Stegostoma tigrinum: one gene and its partner. The protein of the gene in region 1 interacts with the protein of each later gene in a biochemical or structural test. Links are inferred from orthologs where the notes say so. Each region holds a gene or a part of one and is shown on either strand. Other genes may lie near its edges.

Evidence for each region.
Region 2: of the proteins of myelin basic protein (region 1) and cdk9, one has a biochemical effect on the other in vitro, tested with the Homo sapiens proteins (2 studies listed by BioGRID). The link is inferred for Stegostoma tigrinum from reciprocal best matches to the Homo sapiens genes MBP and CDK9.

The regions. Positions count from the first base shown.
Region 1 is NC_081358.1:41,216,740-41,227,762, forward strand, and holds the start of myelin basic protein, read right to left. Parts: upstream 5,046-11,023; 5' UTR 5,031-5,045; coding exon 5,010-5,030; intron 1-5,009. UniProt on the Homo sapiens protein: The classic group of MBP isoforms (isoform 4-isoform 14) are with PLP the most abundant protein components of the myelin membrane in the CNS. They have a role in both its formation and stabilization.
Region 2 is NC_081382.1:34,257,883-34,268,080, forward strand, and holds the start of cdk9 (cyclin-dependent kinase 9), read right to left. Parts: upstream 4,515-10,198; 5' UTR 4,499-4,514; coding exon 4,356-4,498; intron 1,502-4,355; exon of another isoform or gene 1,383-1,501; intron 1-1,382. UniProt on the Homo sapiens protein: Protein kinase involved in the regulation of transcription.

The sequences.
Region 1 (11,023 bases):
GTCAGATCAGTCATGATCTTATTAAGTAGTGGAGCAGTTTCAGGTAGGTAAATGTCCCACTCCTGTTCCTAACTCGTAAGTGTGTAAGTGCTTTATGAAAAGGGATGTGTGAGGCTGGAAATGGAGGAACACAGACATAATAGAGAATTGAGGGTCTGAAAGTGGTTATATTAATCAGGAAGGGTAGGCTCTTGATTCGACCAACTTTCCAGGGTACTTCAGTGAGGTAAAGGGAGAAGAGCACACATGAGTTCTACGTCTAACAAAAAAAAATCAAAACGTTCAGCTGAAAGAATTTTGGTAAATATAACTGACATGTAAAAATACATAGTGTTTTCCATTATTAATTCCATCAGCACACATTATGCATCATTTTGTTCTATTAAAAGCACTACATAAAGAAAAGTTCATTGTGTTCTGTGGAATAGCATCTTACTTGTATATATTATAACTAGGAAGTAGGTCCATTCACCAGATGTCTCCTATTCAATTGATTGGGAGCAGCCCATGCACCTTCTCCCACCAGCAGACCAGCTCATACGTGTAGGTGTCCCTGTAATTCTTTAAATCTGAGTGGCAACAGCCTCCCACTATATTGTTGCAGACGCCAGAATGTTATGCTGTTATTTTGCCAGGCTTCTGGTGGTGGTGCTCCCTCTATTCTCCAGTAGCTATCCCCTGTGCTGGAGATGCAGTTTCATGGGAATATATAGAACTTGGGCAACAAATACATTTTGCAGTGGACTGAATGGTGTTTTCCTAATTCTATACCTTTTATTTGTTCATGTCCTTACACAGACTCTGATCCGGTCATAATTACTGGGCAACCTTGGAAACCATTGAATCGATCTGTCGTTTCTCAGCAACTTGCAAACTTTCAGTGACACAATTCTGCAAGATTCCAGCCCTGCCCGAATGCCCATTGAATGCAACAGTTCTATGAATTTTACATTGGTAAAGGCTCCCTACAGTGATGACCCAATTTTTACTTTTCGAAATGTGAAATGTCTTTCCAATCGATCCTTGATTAAAAGAGTTCATGCTGCTTCGAGCTCTCAGTAATTATTGTGAAAGGAAAAATGTCTTCTTTCCATCAGCTCACATTGTATTGAAAGCTTAATCCTGGAGGGCAGTGCAGCTAATTAATCTAGAGCATATAGAATATTTTATTTCAAATGCTATAAATAACTTCACTTGCTGCATATTTTAAATGCATTGACAGAAAGAAAAGTAACTTCCATTTGTAAAGGGTCTTTCATGAATTTGGAATGTCTCAAAGCACTTCACGATCAACAACAGTGTACAATGGCCTGCCCATATTATCGCTAGACTATTATCCAGAAACCCAGCCAATATTCTGGGGATCTGGGTTTGAATGCTACCAGGGCAGATGGTGAAAATTGAATCCTATAAAGATAATGGTTTGGAATTAAGAATGTACTGATCACCACAAAATCAAAGCCAGTTGTCGGAAAGACGCATCTGGTTCGCTCATGACCATCAGGGAAGGAAATCTGCCATCCTCACCTGGTCAGGCCTATATGTGACTCCAGACCCACAGCAATGTGGCTAATTCTCACTTGCTTCTGAAATGGCCAAGCAAGCCACACAGTTGTACTGGTTGCTACTAAGTATCAAAGAAGTGAAACGAGATGTATCACCTAGCAAAGAACTAGCCAGCGGACAATGGCAGAAACAGCCCTGTCAACCCTGCAAATTCATCCTCACTAACATCTGTGGTTAGTGCCAAAATTGGGAGAACTGTCGCACAGACTAGTTAAGCAACAGCTTGACATAGTCATACTGACAGAATCACATCTGAGAGACAATGTCTCAAACACAACCATCGCAATCCCTGGATATGTTCTGTCCTACTGGAAGGACAGACCTAGCAGAGGTGGTGGTACAGCGGTATACAGTCAGGAGAGAGTTGCTGTAGGAGTCCTCGACATTGACTCCAGACTAAATTAAGTCTCATGGCTTCGAGTGAAACATGGGCAAGAAAACCTCCTCCTGATTACCACATACTGCCCTCCCTCAGCTGATGAATCAGTACTCTTCCATGTTGAACAATACCTGGAGGAAGCACTGAGGATGGCAAGGGCACCAAATGTACACTGGGTGGGGGATTTCAATCAAGAGTGGTTCAGCAGCAATACTACAGATTGAGCTGTTGGGTCCTAAAGGGCATAGATGCTAGACTAGGTCTACTGCAGGTGGTGAGGGAACTGACAAGAGGGAAAAACATAATTGACCTCACCTTTATTAATCTGCCAGCTGCAATTGTATCTGTCCATACAGTATTGGTATGAGTGACCATCACACAGTCCTTATGGAAACAAAGTCCCGCCTTCACATTGAGAATAACTTTCATTGTGTTATGTGGCAATATCACCGTGCTAAAACGGATAGACTTTACCCAAACCTAGCAACTCAAGACTGGGTGCCCATGAGGCACTGTGGGCCATCAACAGCAGCAGAATTGCAATCCAGCACAATGTGTATCCTTATGGCCTGGCATATCTCCCACTCAACCATTACCATCAAGCCAGGGAATGAATGCTGGTTCAATGGACGGTGCAGGAGGGCATGCCAGGAGCAGCACCAGGCGTACTGAATGATGAGGTATCAACCTGGTGAAGCCACCAAACAGGACTACTTGCATGCCAAACAGCGAAAAGAGCAAGTGATAGACAGAGCTGAATGATCCCACAAACAATTGATCAGATCTAAGCTCTGCAGTCCTGCCACATCCAGTTGTGAATGGTGGTGGACAATTAAACAACTCACTGGAGGAGGAGACTCCACATATATCCCCATCCTCAATGATGGAAGAGCTCAGCACTTCAGTGCAAAAGATAAGGCTGAAACTTTTGCAGCAATCTTCAGCCAGAAGTGCCGAGTGGATGATTCATCTCGGGTTCCTCCAGTGGTCCCCAGCATTACAGATACCAGTCTTCAGCCAATTCAATTCACTTCATGTGATGTCACGAAACGGTTGGGGACACTGGGTACTGCAGAGGCTATGGGCCCTGACAACATTCCAGCAATAGTACTGAAGACTTATGCTCCAGAACCTATTGCTCCCCAGGCCAAGCTGTTCCAGTACAGTTACAACACTGGTATCTATCCAGCAATTTGGAAAATTCACCAAGAATGTCCTGTACACAAAAAGCAGGATAAATCCAATCCAGCAAATTAGTCTGCTCTTAATCACCAATGAAGTGATGGAAGGTGTCATCAACACTGCTACAGAGTAGGACTGACTCAGCACCTGTTTAGTGACACCCAGTTTGGGTTCCACCAGGGCCACTCAGCTCCTGAACTCATTACAGCCTTCATTCAAACATGGTCAATAGAGTTGAATTCCAGAGTTGAGGTGAGAGTGACAGCCCTTGACATCATGGCTGCAATTGGCCAAATGTGGTATGAAGGAGCGAAACTGGAATCACTGGGTATTAGGGGGGCAAAATTTCTGGTATTTGGAGTCATCCCTGACACATAGGAAGATGGACATGGTGTTTGGAGGTTAATCATCTCAGCTCCAGGGCATTTCTGCAGGAGTTCCTCAGGGTAGTGTCCTTGGCCCAACCATCTTCAGCTGCTTCATCAAAGACATTCCCTCCATCGTAAGGCCAGAAGTGGAATCTTTGCTGATGATTGCTCAAAATTCAGTACCATTTGCAAACCCTCAGATACTGAAGCAGTCCATGTTCACATGCAACAAGCTCTGGACAATATCCAGGTTTGGGCTGATGAGTGGCAAATGACGTTCACGCCACACAAATACCAAGCTATGACCACTACCAATAAGAGACAATCTAACCAGCACCCCTTGACATTCATTCATGTTACCATCACTGAACCCCTCACTATCAACATCCTGGGGTTACCATTGACCAGAGACTCCACTGGACTCACCACATTAACAGAGTGGCTACAAGAGCAGCTCAGAGGCTGGGAAAACTGCGGAAAGTAACTCACCTCCTGACTCCTCAAAGCCTGTCCACCATCCACAAGGCACAAGTCAGGAGTGTGTTGGAATGCTCCCCCCCACTTGCCTGTGAGTGCATCCCCAATGACACACAAGAAGCTTGACACTATCCAGAACAGAGCAGCCTGCTTCATTGGCACTATATCCAGAAGCATCCACTCCCTCCACCACCGAAGCTCAGTTGCAGCAGTGTGTACTACCTACAAGATGCATGGCAGAAATTCACCAAAGACCCTCAGACAGCACATTCCAAACGCACAACCACTTCCACCTAGCAGGACAAGGGCAGCAGACATATGGGAACATCATCACCTTCAAGTTCCCCTCCAAGACACTCACCATCCTGACTTGGAAATATATCACTGTTCCTTCACTGTCACTGGTTCAAAATCCTGGAATTCCCTCCCTAATGGCATTATGGGTCAACCTACAGCAAGTGAACTACAGCAGTTCAGGAAGGCCGCTCAACACCACCTTCTCAAAGGCATCGAGGAATGGGCAAGAAATGCTGGCCAGCCAGTGACACCCACATCCCACGAAAAAAGAATCCACTATTGAAATGTAGGAAATACAGCAATTAAAATGCACTTGGAAAACTCTTCCAAGCAGCAAAGAGACTGACCAGATTGTCTATTTTAGTGGTATCAGAAGAAATAATAGGCAAAACACCAAAGGAACTCTCCTGTTTTTCCTAAAAATAATGCAATGGGATCTATTTTACATTAACCAGAAAGAACAAACAGGAATTATTAGCAGCCAAAATTCTCTTCTGCATCAAGGTTATCTTGAACTCAATTTTTTTACTGACTGCTGCAAATTTGATTTGCAACAAACCCCAGACATTTTTCAATACCTGCAATCAATTTTGGAGTTTAAATTGAAGAAGTAACTTCATATTCAATAACATTCACCGAACAATCTTTGGGAACTAGTAATTGTCGTCTACTGAAACAAGCTTAAACCCAAAAAGACTGAAACAAAGCAAAAAAAAATTGTAAGTTCACAGGAGACCTACCTGTAAAGATGACCAGATCATTAGCTTGGAGGCAGATAATCCCCTTCACAAGAGCACAGGCCTGAAAGAACATAACTTTTTACAGATGCTCTTGATTTACATCAGCAAGGAAATGAAGAATGAGTGCTTCTAAGAACCTGAGACATTAGACTGAAATTGAATAAATTAATGAAATTAGGGCAAATGCATGGGCCAGAAGGTACATGTCCCACCCTCTCCAGACGACCAGTTTCAAAATATCTAAAAAAAGATCAGGTCAGAACTGAGAGGTGATACTTAGCAGGGAAACAGCGAAAAGGCTGCAGTCATTTTGTCTTGATTATAGTCTAAGGTGTTTAAAGGTTTTATGGAGAAGCTGTAGAACAATGTTTCTCGTGTAGAAGAAATTAAAACTATAGCTAGAAATATGCAATAGTAACTAATAAACCTTTTTGTTGACTTTCTTTAGCTAGAATTAGGGATGTGGAACTCACTACAATATGGAATAGTTGAAATGAATAGCACAGATACATTTAAGTGGAAGGTGGATGAATACATGAGGGGTAAACAAATAGAATGATATACTGACAGGGTGAAATGAAGAACAGTGGAAAGAAGCTTTATGAGGGTACTACACCAGCACAGACTAGTCGGGCAGAACGCCCTGTTTCTACGTTATACATTCTGTATAATTACTTGAAAATTTTACCACATCTAATGTTACCAGTACCTTATTTTTACAGTTAGGTTGGAAAAGTAAATGGCCTGATTTATGTGCAAATCTGTAACCCATTCTAAAGTGTAAATAGGCGTGGAGCTGAAGGGTCTAGGCCCGAAACATCAGCTTTCCTGCTCCGAAGATGCTGCTTGGCCTGCTGTGTTCATCCAGCTCCACGCCTTGTTATCTCGGATTCTCCAGAATCTGCAGTTCCCATTATCTCTAAAGTGTAGGTGCTCTACTCTTCAATACAACTTTACTGCCTGTATCTCATGCTGCAACTTATTCTGCACTTACAAAACATGAATCATGAATAACTCAACACCCATGTGTCACACAATTGCAATAAAAACTGAGAAAGGTTTGTAGTTTGACCATTTGAACATAGTTTGGCATACTTCAGAATTCCACAGCACAGAAACTGACCGTTCACCTAATTGATCTATGCCAGTCTTCACAAGCCTCTTCTCTTCCCTATTTTGTTTCATACAAGCAGTATATCATTCTACTCTTTTCTCCCATGAATCTATCTAGCTTTCTCACTTGGCTGTTATTGGATGCCCATTTTGTGCTGTGACCAAAGTCTTTCTCTAAACATTTCTGTCATTACTCTATTATATTTTATCCATCAGCCCCGAACCATAAGTGAGGAGGCTATGGTGTAAAAGATGAATAACTATATGTTTGAAAATAAAAAAACTTAATAACATGCAAAGATTACTTGAGATGAATTCAACAGAACATTTGCGAAATGGTGCAATTTAAGTGTGTAAATTTAATACAGTTAAATTTGCGATACCTGGCATGCATCAGGAATTGATGATACCACTAAATCAAAAATGCCAAAAAAACAGAAGGAGGGCTGACTTTAATATCATTCAACCATTTGAGTCCTTTTGATAGGTAATGAGCTTGAAACCATATGCAAGTTCTGACATGCCAAAAGGATCATTTCAGTGAACCCTGTGGACAAAACCTATTGAACTGCCTTACACTGTTTCCCTTCACCAATTGCAGCCAATTTTTTTGGTGTCTGCCTGTGACTGTCTATATGTGTATATAGGGTAAGTTTACTGAGAGTTAGGGTTTTAACTGGTAGAGTTACATGTCAACAGCTCATAGTTGTTCTCGATAAACTCTACTTATTTATAACAAATAGTTATGTTAAATACATAAGTATTCTGTTAAATACAGAAACCTGTCTGAGTTTTCTGTCAACTGGGTCCAAAACACAAGTAAATTGGTGTATTTTGTCAACTTTTATAAAATGTATAAGTTTGGCGATGCCTCTGGGAATAGCGGTGCTTGAGCGTGCTGCCCTAGTGAGGTGTAACAGGGATATCCAGCATCCCTGCGTGATATTCCAAGTTACTCTGGGCCAAGTACAGGAGCATGTCTTTTGCTTGGAGTTGAGCTAGGTGTCAGGTCTCTGAGGTGCCTGAGATGCAGCTTCCTTTGAATTGCAGCAGTGATGTGTTAGTAATGTGCTCACAAGATGGTGATGCTGTATGTAGTATAGGCAGATAACCCAATGAGGTGGAACTCTCTGAGCTGGTGGAGGGTGCATCTGCTGCGGTTTCAGAGCAATCATGTCAGAAATGGTACTGATGGGGAGAGGCTACGCATCTCTTTTTCTTGGCGGTGTGTGTTAACTACTCATACCTGTAGAAGAGAAAGAATAAGTTGGTGAACATGCACAGTCCTTATATAGATGAACATGTGGAACGACACAACTGAGAAGTGCAGTCTATAATCTTCCTTACTGACTTCTCCTGCCATTCTGATCTTTCTATTGACTCAGGACTGGTCACTATCCGCATCTATCACTCTGCTGCCTGGACCATATAAGGGAAGAAAACTCAGCAACTCTGCACTGGTCTTAGCCTTTTCGGCCTCTTGTCCTGCAAGCAGAGAAGGAGAAGGATTGTGTGTCCTTGGTACTGGTGCAGGAGCACTTTATGACCATGTGTCCCGAAAGTAGGCTTCCCACAAGTATTTAGAAAGTGCAATGCCTGGGAAACAGAATACTCAGAGCATAAGGTGTGAGCCCTTCAAAGCAGATCATGGGTAAGAGACTGAGGCTTGCAGGCCAGTGGCTGAGTTAGACTAAGTGATGGCCCTAAGAGATTGATCTTGCAATGAGGAGCACAGGAGACCATTCATGAATGCTGAATGATTTATTTATTGCCACCAGCATTACAGTGAATAATACAGTAAAATTATACAGTGAAAAGCTTCAAAAGTCGCCACAATCCAGCGCCATTTTGAATAGTTTGAGAATGAAAAGGATAAAAGATATGACTGAAAGAGAATCCTGAGCCCTGAGCCGGATCACCAACAATACCTGTGCCACGCTGCCACCTACGCTGGGCCCACCAACATAGGAGTCGCTGCCCTTCCTGTGGCACACTGGCACTGACCCAAGCGCCTGAGTCTGATGGGAGCTGCCAATACTAGAGGACAGCACTTATCTGGGTTCTCTGGATGGCATTGAGCCGAAACCTGATGAGGCTTTCATAAACCTTGGAGCTGATTTGTTCCTGCTATATGACCATGAGTGAGTAGGGAAGGGAGTAGCTGACGCAGGCTCTCTTGACTCTGCAGCTTGGCGGAGATTGAAGGGATGCCTCAGGTGGCTTTTTATGTATACCAGCAGAACCTTCACACCTGGGAGATCCTGGCAGGATCAAGAACCTCTCCCCACCCACCCCATATCACTTACTGTTGACGTCACACTATGACTCACTTCCTTATAAAATGAGCTGAAAAAGGTACAGTCGTGCAAGAAAATTTGCCCTAGGTCATGACAGAATTGATGCTCTCTAAGATGCCTCATGTCCTTCTTTAACTTCAATATGGAAAATCTTGGCTGTGGTGTTTGAAATCAAAAACAGGGTTGAATGAGGTCTGCGACAGCAAGTAAGCACATATAATAGCATTAGCTTTTCACTGTGCTGCTATTATACTTCACAATGGCCGGGTGAAGCTTGTTTTGTTGTCATGACAACACTAAGGTACCAGTTGTCATCAGTACAGTTTCTTGTTTGGCGAATTGCTCCTGGTCATTTAGGGGAACATCAGAGTTTCTGATTGGTGGAGCATCCTGGTTTGTACAGATAACATTTGGAAAATACAAAATTAACTGTATGTATTGAAAATAAACCTTATCCAATTTATGTAATGTTTAATTTACTTGAAATTTCTCACACCTCTATTTTCCCAACAATAATTTGAAACTTACAGCTACAGTCGGCAACTTTTTCAGTTTCTTCATGAGTTTTCATAATTAAGTACGTATCACAATTCTGATGTCCAAGGTACTTCGACCCGTATGAAGGTATTGAGGTGGGTACGTAATATTTCCCTTTCATACGTTAGGCTCAACTGCCAACAACAAATGACGACTGGGAAAACAAAACAAAAACAACTGGTAACAAACAGTGTCAACTTTTGTCAACTGGTCACAGTTTTCAATTAGCAGTGGATTAAACTGCTGTGATCAAACTGTGCAACTCTTTGTCTCAAGTCAAGACTTCTGTAGCTCAAAGAGTCACTGTTCTACATCTTGAGAGCCAACCAATTAACTCTGTAAGCTGTAGGAAAAATACCCCATCAGATGAATGAACTATTTTACTGTTATCAGTGATGTGTGTCTTTGCATTGTGACAGAAGATCTTAATTATTGTTTTGTCATCATTCATGTGATTCAGTAGATTATGACATACCTCAAAATGCATTAAATAATCCTTTGTGAGGTCAGTTGGAAGGAATATAAGATTCTACCTCAGAAGTTATGGATTGGAACTTGGGTCTATAGGACAATGATAATTTTTTTTTGATTGCTTTTAAAAAGGGACATAAATAATGTTGCAAAACACAAGACTGCTGGGCTCAGTCCCCATTTACTGCCATACGATTGGGGTTTGCCTAATGAAGAGAAATTGAGCAGATTGAACCGACTCTCTGATGTTTAGAAAAACAAGATGCGTTCTAGTTGTGGTATTTAAGATGCTGAAGGGGATTAACAAAGTAAAAGTAGAAAAGATGTTTCCTCATGTGAAGCGGTCTAAAATGAGAGTTCATAGCTTCATGATAAAGTGTAGAAACAGAAATGAAGAGAAATTGCTTCTCTCAAAGGGTCATAAATCTGTGGAACTCACTAATCCCAGAGTGTGATGGATGCTGTGTCAATGAGTAAATTTTTTTTCTATTCAGTTTTGGAATGGGGGTATCACTGACTGGCCAGCATTTCTTGCTCTTCCCTAGTTGCCCTTGAGAAGGTGGTGGTGAGTTGCCTTCTTGAACTGCTGCAGTTCACCTGCTGTAATTTGACCCACAATGCCATTAGGGAGGAAATTCCAGGATTTTGAACCAGTGACAGTGAAGGAACAGCGATATATTTCCAAGTCAGGATGGTGAGCGTCTTGGAGGGGAACTTGAAGGTGATGGTGTTCCCATATATCTGCTGCCCTTGTCCTTCTAGGTGGAAGTGGTTGTGGGTTTAGAAGGCGATATCTGAGGATTTTTGGTGAGTTTCTGCCATGTATCTTTTAGATAGTACACACTGCTGCTACTAAGCATCAGTGGTAGAGGGAGTGGCTGCTTCTGGATATAGTGCCAATGAAGCAGGATGCTTTGTCCTAGATAGTGTCACGCTTCTTGTGTGTTGTTGGGGATGCACTCATCCAGGTAAGTTGGGGGGGTGGGTGGTGTGGTGGTGGGGGGGCAGTATTCCATCACACTCCTGACTTGTGCCTTGTGGATGGTGGACAGTATTTGAGGAGTCAGGAGGTGAGTTACTGGCTGCAGAAATACTAGCTTCTGACTTGCTCTTGAAGTCTCTGTGTTAATGTCGTGAGTCCAGTTGGGTTTCTGGTCAATGGTAACTCGCAGAATGTTGATAGTGAGGGATTCAGTGATGGTAACATCATTGAATGTCAAGGGGTGCTGGTTATTTGTCTCTTGTTGGTGATGGTCATAGCCTGGCATTTGTGTGGCACAAATGTCACTTGCCGCTCATCAGCCCAAACCTAGATATTGTCCAGATCTAGTTGCATTTGAACACTGACTGCTTCAGTATCTTAGGAGTTGCGAATGATGCTGAACATTGTGCAATCATGGGTGAACATCCCCACTTCTGACTTTACGATGGTGGGAAGGTCATTGATGAAACAGCTGAAGATGGTTGGGCCCAGGACATTACCCTGAGGAACTCCTGCAGAGACGTCCTGGAACTGAGATGATTAGCCTCCAACAACCACGACCATCTTCATGTGTCAGGTATGACTCCAACCACCAGACTGTTAGCTCCCTGATA
Region 2 (10,198 bases), on another chromosome or scaffold:
CAACTCAATCTTAGATGAATGACCCCTTCTACTGAGGCTGTATTCCCAGCCATGGAAACCAATATCTCAGAATCACCCTCAGCAAGCCACTTCAGATAAATCAGACCATTTCTCATGCTTCCAAACAGGAGGACAGACAAAAGTTACTTAGTGTCTCATCACAGGAAGCAGTCCTGTGGAGGCAGTTGAATACTGCCATCTATTCCAGTGTTTCTAGTGCTCCTTCTATCAGAACACCCAAGTCTCACTGAATAACATCTAAAAGATTCAAATCTTTTAAAAAGATTTTGCTTGTCTACCACAAAATTAATAATAGAATTCAAGTTTTCCTTCATTATACTCCAACTGTCACCTTGTTGCCCGCTCAGTTAACCTGTTTATATCACTTGTGCTGCCGCTTCGTACTCTCCTCATTTTCATCTAACTTTGTATCCTCAGCAAATTTAGATAAGCTACTCTTAATCCTGTTATTTAATTCATTAATATAGATTATAAAAGACCCAGCATTAATCCTTATAGCACTCTGAATTACAGCTTGTCATCCTTAATGTTTTATTTTTTCCTGGGATGGTATCACTGACGAGGCAAGCTTTTATTGCCCAAAATGTAAGTCAGAATGCACAAAATTGCTATTGGGCTGGAGTTACATGTAGACCAGGCCAGGTTTAAGGACAGCAGGTTTCCTTCTATGAAGTAGATGTAAAGATATGGCTAACAGTGAAACCTCAACAAAGCACGATGGGAAAAGAATTCAACAATACAAATCATTCTGCGGGTGTCTGGTGCTGAGCGTCATTCAACTTTTATTGTTGCAACAGTTGATAAATTAAGGACTAATGGAAGTACAATGGAGATGATGTGTCCTGCTTACACGACTCTTGGACTGATGATCTCAGAATCACGTGGATCTTGGGCAGTGGTACATCACTAAACATGGACTGGACTAAAGAGATCAAAAAGGGGGAAAAGCAGGAACAGGCTATTGAGTGAGATGATCAGCCATGGTTCATAATGAAGAGAGCAGCAGGGGCTTATAGGGCCAAATGGTGCTCTTGATCCTATTTTCGATGTTCCTGAAAGACTGGAAGAAAACAGGTAAAAGAAGAAACATCAGAGACATCGGTAGCGATGACCCAGGAACAACCATTGTGGAAGAAATACCCTGAGTTCAGAACTCAAAGGTGACCAAGCCCCATTGGAGCGAACTTCTGCAGTTCACTTCGCACGGTTAATAGCTAAGTCCAAGCCACAAGTCTTGCAATTTAGTCTAATTAGTGACAAGCTGGAATAATGAGTTACATGTAACATTATTAAACATTAATCGAATGCCTGTATATTGTTGGTGATTTGAGTAGTAGACTTTTGTTTGAGTGTCTCTTTGTCTGATATGTCAGCTGATACCTGAAAAGGCAATAGGATCAACAATTTAATATCTCTTCAATGAGTTCAAGTTTCATCATCGGCCACCACAGATCAACCTAAAAAGCATTCAGACACTCTAGTAAGTATTGTGCGAGCAGCCACTTGGGACGATATCAGAAGTGCATTTTGGGTACTATACAAAAGCAGTTTTGTTTCTTTTTTATTTTTGTGTTTAGTATTAAAGGGATAATACTTTATTGTGACTAAAGATCTTTGAATTTGCACTGTAGGTAGATGGCTTGGAACATTCTACTTTATCTCCATTAGCTGGGATCATAACACTGATCTCCTGTTGATATAATTGTAAATGCTGTCAAAATCTGTCTTTATATTCCCAACTAGTTTATTCCTAAGCTACTTTTTCTTCTATCAACTTATTTGCTGATTTTCTCTGGTTTCTGAAACAATCAATTAGAACAATCTTTTGCAATCTTAAAGGCTTCTTTTATTTATTACCATCCTCATTTCCCCAGTAAGTGGCAAGTGGATCTTTCTAGCCTTGTTTCTATTTTTGGTAGAAAGTATTTTTGTCAAAAATTTTAAATGATTTTATATAAAGATTTCCCACTAGTCATTTACTACCAAAGCTTTTAGTCCACCCAATCAACCCTAGTCAGCTCATCTTCTAAACTGGCCCTGTTTAATATCCTTATTTTGAGATATCATGCTAAATTTTAATATGAAAATTAAGTGTATGATGAGCACATTTTAACAGCGATAGTAAGAACAGCCAATGCTAGAGTCAGAGATAGGACAATGTAGAGCTGGACAAGCACAGCAGGTCGGGCAGGAAAGTTCACGTTTCGAGTCAGGACCTTTCTTCAGAAATGGGGGAAGAGGAAGGGAGCTCAGAAATAAATAGAGATGGGGGGGTGCTGGGAAGGTAGACGGGATATGATAGGTGAGATCAGGTAGGGGGTAGCAGGAGGAGCAGGTAGATGGGAGAGAAGATGGACAGATTGTGTCAGGTCAATAAGGCGGGTTGAAGGTGGGATGAGGCAGTGGGTGGGGAGACTTTGAAACTAGTAAAAGTCCAGATTTAGGCCATTCGGTTGTAGGCTCCCAAGGCAGAATATGAGGTGCGGGTCTTCCAGTTTCCGGGTGGTGTCACTGTGATACTGGAGGAGGTCCAAAATGGACATGTCATCTATGGAGTGGGAGTGGGAGCTGAAACTGAAAGGTGGTATCGTTTGTCGTGAGCAGAGCACAGGTGTTCTACAAAGTGGTCTCCGAGCCTCTGCTCGGTCTCACCAATGCAGAGGAAGCTGCAGCGGATGCAGTAGACCATGTTGGCGGATATGCAGGTGAGCCTCGATCTTATGTGAAAGTTTTCTTTGGTTCCTTGGATGGAGGTGAGGGAGTAGGTGTAGCACTTCCTACGTTTGCAGGGAAACGAGCTGGGGGTGGTGGACCTAGTTGGGAGTGTGGAGCAGATGAGGGAATCACGGACAGAGTGGTCCCTACGGAAGGCAGATAGGGGTGGTGAGGGAAATATATCCTTGGTTGTGGGGTCAGATTGCAGGTGGTGGAAGTGGCGGAGAATGACACGTTAAATCTGGAGGTTTAATGGGATGATACATGAGGACAAGGGGGATTCTGTCTTTGTTTTTGTTGCAGGGAGGGGATATGACAGCTGAGTTGCAGGAAACACAAAAGATGTATTCAACAGCATTTTCGACCACTTGGGGGTGGGGAGAAGAAGCGTTGCAGTCCTTGAAACAAGGGGATGTCTGGGATGTTTGGGAGTGGAACCTTGGGAGCAGACACAGCAGAGACAGAGAAATTGGGAGCAGGGGATTGCATTCTCGCAGGAAGGTGGGTGAGAGGAGGTGTAGTCTAAGTAGCTGTGGGAGTCGGTGGGCTTGAAATAGATATCAGTTTCGAGGTGGTCATAGGAAATGGAGACAGAGGTCCAGGTGAACAAGGGCAGCATGGTGGTTCAGGGGTGAGCACTGCAGCCTCACAGCGCCAGGGACCCAGGTTCAATTCCAGCGTCGGGCAACTGTCTGCGTGGAGTTTGCAGATACGGAGAGAATGTGCATCGGTTTCCTCCCAAAGCCCAAAGATGTGCAGGCTAGGTGAACTGTCCATGCTAAATTGCCTGTAGTGTTCAGGGATGTGTGGGTGGTAGGGGTAGTGGGGTAGTGGGGGGGTAGTGGGGGGGTAGTGGGGGGGTAGTGGGGGGTAGGGGGGGGATGGTCCAAGGGTCAGTGTGGACTTGTTGGGCCGAAGGGCCTGTTTCCACACTGAAGGGCTTCTATGATTGAACTTGAAGTCGGGTTGAAAGGTGTTTGTAAAGTTGATGAACTGTTCATGCTCCTTGTGGGAGCTCAGAGCAGTGCTGATACAGTCACTGATGTAGTGGAGGAAGAGGTGAGGGCTCGTGCCAGTGTAGCTGTGGAAGAGGGGCTCTCTCACGTATCTTACGAAGAGGCGGGCCTGGCTTGGGCCCATGCGGGTTCCCATGGCCATACCCTTAGTCTGTAGGAAGTGAGAAGAGTTGAAGGAGAAGTTGTTAGCGGTAAGGACGAGTTCAGTTAATCTTCTTAACAGTGGATCTCTCACTATGAGACCACTCATTAACCCCGCCTCAAAGCACAATCGTAGATTTACAAGTAACTATGCTCTCTTCCGTTCCACAACATATTCTTCCAGGAGGCTGTCATGAAAACATTCAACAAGCTCAGATCACTTTTGCGAATTTGATTTGTTGATTCCATTTGAAGATAAGGTTAGAATGAATTACTCACATATAGGCGAGACCAGATAAAGACAGATTTCCTTCCCTAAAGTCCTGTACATTCTCTCTCCCATTCCCCCAACCAGTCGCTCTCTCTTTCCTCTTCTTCTCTACCATCCAGTCCTCAGTCCTCAGTCCTCAGGCCCCGCGCTCCCTTGCCCCTTCCCCCCACCCGTTCCCAAACCGGACTCACCCGAAAGTGCCCTGCCCGATCTTCGCCAGCTTCTCGTACTTCCCGACCTCGTCGCAGAACTGGAAATCCAGCGCTTCATAATGTTTAATCATGTCGGCGCTGAGCCTGACACTCATCCCACCATCCGGGCACCTCGCCATCATCTACTTCCGGGGCGGCCGGCTGTGCGGCACGCTGTGATGTAGCCGACATCCGCTACAGACAGCGGCACCAATCGGCCGGGAGTGCAGCTGCAACCGTTCTGTCTCGACCCAGCCACAAAAGCAGCTGGTAGCAGTTCCAATAGGGAGCGGAGTTCACCCGCAGTGTCCTAGAAAACTCCTACTTCATTGTCTTCTCATGCATATTTTGAAATCAGCAAATATAAAGCTCAATTTTAGGGAGAATGACTCATTGTCATTTTTCTTACACTTTTTCATGTTTCTACAACCATTTGGTTCAGTTAATTCACAGAACATTGAGCTGCCAAGCCTTGTCCATCTCTCAGCCAAGTTTCAGAAGTAGCTTTGATATCCCTGTCTCATGTTCTTAAATATGCCCTGAGTTCATCAGCCTTACCCATAAGATGCCTTTCAATGAAATAAGTGCAATTTAGTTTTTCAGGGTTACTACATACTATGATTCTCTCTTTTCTAATTGACATGGTCTCTTCGCATTCAGAACCTTCGCTGTCAATCTTTCTATTTACGCTGCTATTTAGAATTCCTCCACTCCCTTAAGTCTCCCTTAATGGAATGAGCAAATCTCCCTGTTAAGATATTGGTCACTGTCCAGTTCAGGTTAGACTCATTCTTTTTCAACAGGTCTTTTCTATCCTAAATGACATTCCAATTGTCCAAAAACCTGAATCCCTGGACAATACACCAGCTTTTCAGTTATTGATTTATTGCCTTAGCCTTTTGTTGCTTCGCTTGTTTAAGTTTGGCATTGAGAGTAAACCAGAAATTGCTATTTTTAAGGTTCTTTTTTTAAAATCTTCTACCTAACCTCTTAAATTCACTCTGTACTGCTTTAATCTTGTCTCTAAAAATGTCATTCCTACCAATGTGTACAATAATTTATGGCTTCTCAATCTCACCTTTAATAGGCTTGAAATGTTTGGAGTTGTTCTTAATCCTAGCACAAGGAAAGCAACAAACCATCCTATAGTTATGCTCACTGCCACAGAATCTCCTGTCTATGTCCCTGACAGCAGAGTCCTCTATTACAATAATCCTATTAAATCTTGTAAAGCGTTGCCTAACATAAGGATTATTCCAAGTCCCCAACAACTTACTGCCCCTTCCATCTTCCTTGGTGAGACTATCCCCTTTTACAGTTCCAAAAGCTAAATATCTATTTGATAGAGGAATAGTCACCAGAGACTTTTAAACTACCTTACCTTTCCCAAGTCACCCATCTATCTGACAGATCCTGCCATGTAAAAGCCTTTCTAACTCTGCCAGCCACCTCACTCTGTACCTTACATAAGGCCTTAATAACACTATGCCTAAAAGAATTTTCAGAAACACCTTATACTGAAAATAAAACATCTTTCATTACCTCCAGAAAATAATGTTAAAATGAAAAAAAACAAACAGATAAAACTTAAATGAAATCAACCATTTAGCTGATTAACTGAATAAAAAAAACTCCTCTTCAATAAATTGCTCAAAGGAAAAGAAAAGTCTTCTCTAGAGCCAACCATATGTAGGACTCACCAAAACAAAAACACAACTCCTTGCTTTTAAAAAAATCTGCTTGGTTTTTCAAGAAAAGACTTCTGCAATGTAAAAGAAAACACCCGCTAAAACACATATAGTCTTTTTTAAATTTCTGAATTTAGAATTAAAAATACCTCAGCTGTTCACTGTAGAAAAGCTTGTTTAAAAACAGTGCATTTGAAAAGAAAATCACAATTTTATTTGTTTGTTTTTTGGCTTTTTTGTACTCTAATAAAACAGAATGAATAAAACATCTTATACTAGTAAAATATCATGACTGTAATAACTGTAAGAAAAACTATAATAAATCTTTGATTATGTCTGCAATCCCAGGAGCATCTGCAAGATCCACACTGCCTCCCCTGAACTTCGAAAGGAAGTGGTAAATGTGTGTACAGTTACAACATTTAAAGGTCACTCAGGTAAGTACGTGAATAAGAAATACTTGGAGGGAGATGGGCCAAGCATTGGCAGATGGGACTAGTTTAGTTGGGGATTATGGTTGGACTGAAGAATCTATTCCTGTGCTGTATGACTCTATGACTACAGTTAGATAATGGGACATCTTTGGAATTTCCTGAATTAATTCCCATTTTGAGCTATTTTGGATCTGAACCAACACTAACATATCCCCAAACTCAACTTTTTTTTACTCAGAAATGTTAATATAAGGAAATATTTCAAGGCATTTCAATGCCTGAATTTTACCTCATGTTCAAGATCTTTCTATTCCTGATATATATTACTCACTCAGGTTTTGGTGTGTGGAACACAATTTCAACATTTGTGGACAACTCAGTATTTGGAAATATTGTGAATTGTGAGGAGGATAGCACTCAACTCCAGAAGCACACAACCAGGTCGGTGTGGGGAATGAGTAGATATATCACAGGTGTAATTTGATGCAAAGAAGTGCAATGTGATGTATTTTGGTAGAAAAGACAAGAGCAGGCAACATAAAATAAAGAATAGAATTGAGTATGACTGAAGGAACTAAGAGACCAGTGACATATGTGCACAAGTTGTTGAGGGTGTTGAAGCAGTTTGAGAAAGGTGATCAAAATGGTGATGAGCATTTATGAAACACTAGCTTTTGGCCTCAGTTGGAATAGCAGTCTATTTGTTTACACAAACCTTCAGGGAGGATGTGACAATCTTTTTGGAGCTGCTGAATTAGTCACATTCCTCTATACCTTCCTCTTTAAGTTTTAACACTTGAAAGACTTAAGAGATGATGCAAAAAAAAACTCCTGAAAATGGTTCCAGGGATGAGGAACTTTGGTTACGTGGATAAAGTGAAGGGGCCAAGTTTTTCTCCTTAGAGAAGAGAAGATTGAGAAATATGGTAGAAATGTTTAAAATCTCGAGATGTCAGGGCAGAATCAATTAAGTGTAACTGTTCCCATTAGGGTCCAGAAACAGGAAAAAAAAAGCTTTCAGGAGATTGGCAAAAGAAGCAATGAGATGTAAGGAAAATCTTTTCCCCACACAGTGAATGGTTAGGATCTAGAATTGCGCTTGAGACTGTGCTGAAGACATGATTTAATCTGCCTTTCAAAAGATAATTGGATCATTATATGAAAAATGAGTAAAAAAATGTATACCAAATTGTAGAGCAAAAGTTGTCATAGGTGGGATTATTGACACTCTATGATCTGCTCTTGCAGATAGACTGCTCAGACACAACAAGCCAAATGGCCTCTTTGTGTATCATAAACATCCCATGATTTGATCGAATGAGGATAAATTTTCATAAACAGTGGAGTGGTGAGGTTATCATGTTATGGATGAATCATGTCCCTCAGTGGCCCCAAGTTACAGAAGGTATAAGGTAAATCAATAGACAATCAAAACATGTAATCAAATTCCATGCTCAACCAAGCATGAATTGGGTCTAACAACGGCAAGAAAAGTCATAGCAGTCCAATCTTGACCCATTTTACCCTGGCTCATCATTTCTTTCCACACACCTCTGATCTCCCTTTCAATCTGCCCATCAAAGACAAGGAATATGACCAAGATGTGAAACCAGAAATTGAGGAGCTGCCCCTTAAGTTTACAGGCCAGGCTTCTTTTAAGTATCATTCATGTTGGCACTTTGCAGATAAGAAAAACAGTCCTGATCCTGAAATAGGGCATGGGGAGAGTTTATATGTCAGTGAAGAGGTTCAAGAAAGCATTTAAGGCCTTTCTGGCAAGCAGCATAATGCACCCAGGATCCAGGCACTAGGGAGAGTCTATCAGGGCTTTCTACTAGGTCCACTTGCCCCCTATTGGACGGCAAGATGATCAATCAGTACAGAAGATGAAAACAATCACTGTTTCTGCACCTTAGTGATTACCACATTCACCCTACACATGAAATGTCCCTGGTACAAAACTGAACAGGAATGTTCCGGAGTCTGGTGGTACAGAAGGTCAGTCCAACCTGCTGTAGCGGTACTTCCTAACATGTCCAACATATCTGTTAAAAATAATTTAGAAGATGACAGTAAAGAAATGGATCAATAGCATACAGGGAATTCCATAGGGTAGAAAGGAAAATAAGGAATGATTCTTACTTTGCAGCTGTCTCTGATAAATGTGCAGATTCAGATCCAATCCACAAAGGACTATGAAGTAATTAAAGGGACATAGACCAAACCTGCTGCTGGTGATATTTCACCTGGATATTATTAAACCAACCCTGAGGTTATGACCATAACTTAGTGACTACTGTTGGATGTGCAAGTCAAAGAATTTCAAGGAAAGACAGTGCAACATTATAACAACACCTCTATACTGAGGTACACTTTGAAACATTTCCCATGCACGATGAAAAGAAATGCAAAGGTATTGCACTGGATTTTCATCCGAGACTGCGTGCTAACATTCCAGCGTGGGGTTTTACACCACCACCTTTGGACATGGGTTCAATGGAAGCTTTGTTAATGGGATCCTGGTCAAGAGACCTATTCACTGACTCACTTTAAGGAAAAAAAATCCTGCCATTCTTATTCCTTTTTACTACCTGTGCTGAATTTGCAATTACTCTTAAACAACCTTCTGAAGTGATTTTATAAACCTTTCAGCTGGACCAAGCTCAGGGCAGCCAGGGATACAAGCAATAAATAATGCTGCCAACATAAAATATACTTAGAAACAAGGTTAATACTCCAGGCAAGGCTTCTTTTAAGCATCATTCACATTGACAAAGATGCAAAACTCTATTCGTCATAATTTTTAGAGGGTTTGCTGACAAGAAATGTAACAGTGTGTGGGGCTGTTATTTCCATAAATATACTCATTGGGAAATGTGGAACTGGCTTTGCAGATGCTCCCAGAGTAAACAAAGTGCTGTACAATCAATTGTAGTCAATTATTCAGGGAATTAGTGACTCATTCTACAAACATTCTAGCTTCAAGACTCTTTAATGGTTCTGCACTGTTTTTTTTGATGTACCTCCCTCTCTGTGACTGACAAATTAGTAACATGAAAATTATGACTGAGATAAGATACTGTCTATAATCTTAAATATGTGTTTACTAGATAACAACGTTACTATATGTTGACAGAAAATAATCCCTCATCAAAGACATTAAAAACTCAACAACTCAGTAGCCTTTCACTTTTATCTGTAGCTATAACTCAGAAGCAATGATAACCATTTTTTGCTCTCAGCTATTCAACAGTTTCTTGCTTCATCGGAGCTTCAGTGCCTGACACCGAATTCCCGGCAAATTTCTTCAGACTTGAATATGATAAGAAAACCTTCAAATGACTTTGTGAAGGGAGTATAACTTTGTTGTCAAATCTCGTGAGAAGTATTTGAATGAAAGGCGGCTAAGGTGATAACGTGTCACTACATGTATTAATGATGGATGCATTATGAATTGGGATTTGCTTGCAATGTGTTTGGGAAGAGGGTGTCTTAAGAAGAGGATTCTGATAATGAAAGCAGCCAACAGACAGAAAAAAGTACAATAAAAACAGCTTGAGTTGTTCTGTAGACAACGTTCATGTGCTGAATGGACTGCAAGTCTTCTAAAACCTCATACACCTTACTTCTCTGAAAATAATATTTCTCTTCCAGTTATCATCAGCTACAAGCTATAATGTCAATCGCTGGAAAATGATTTTTTGAATTACTTTTGATGGTT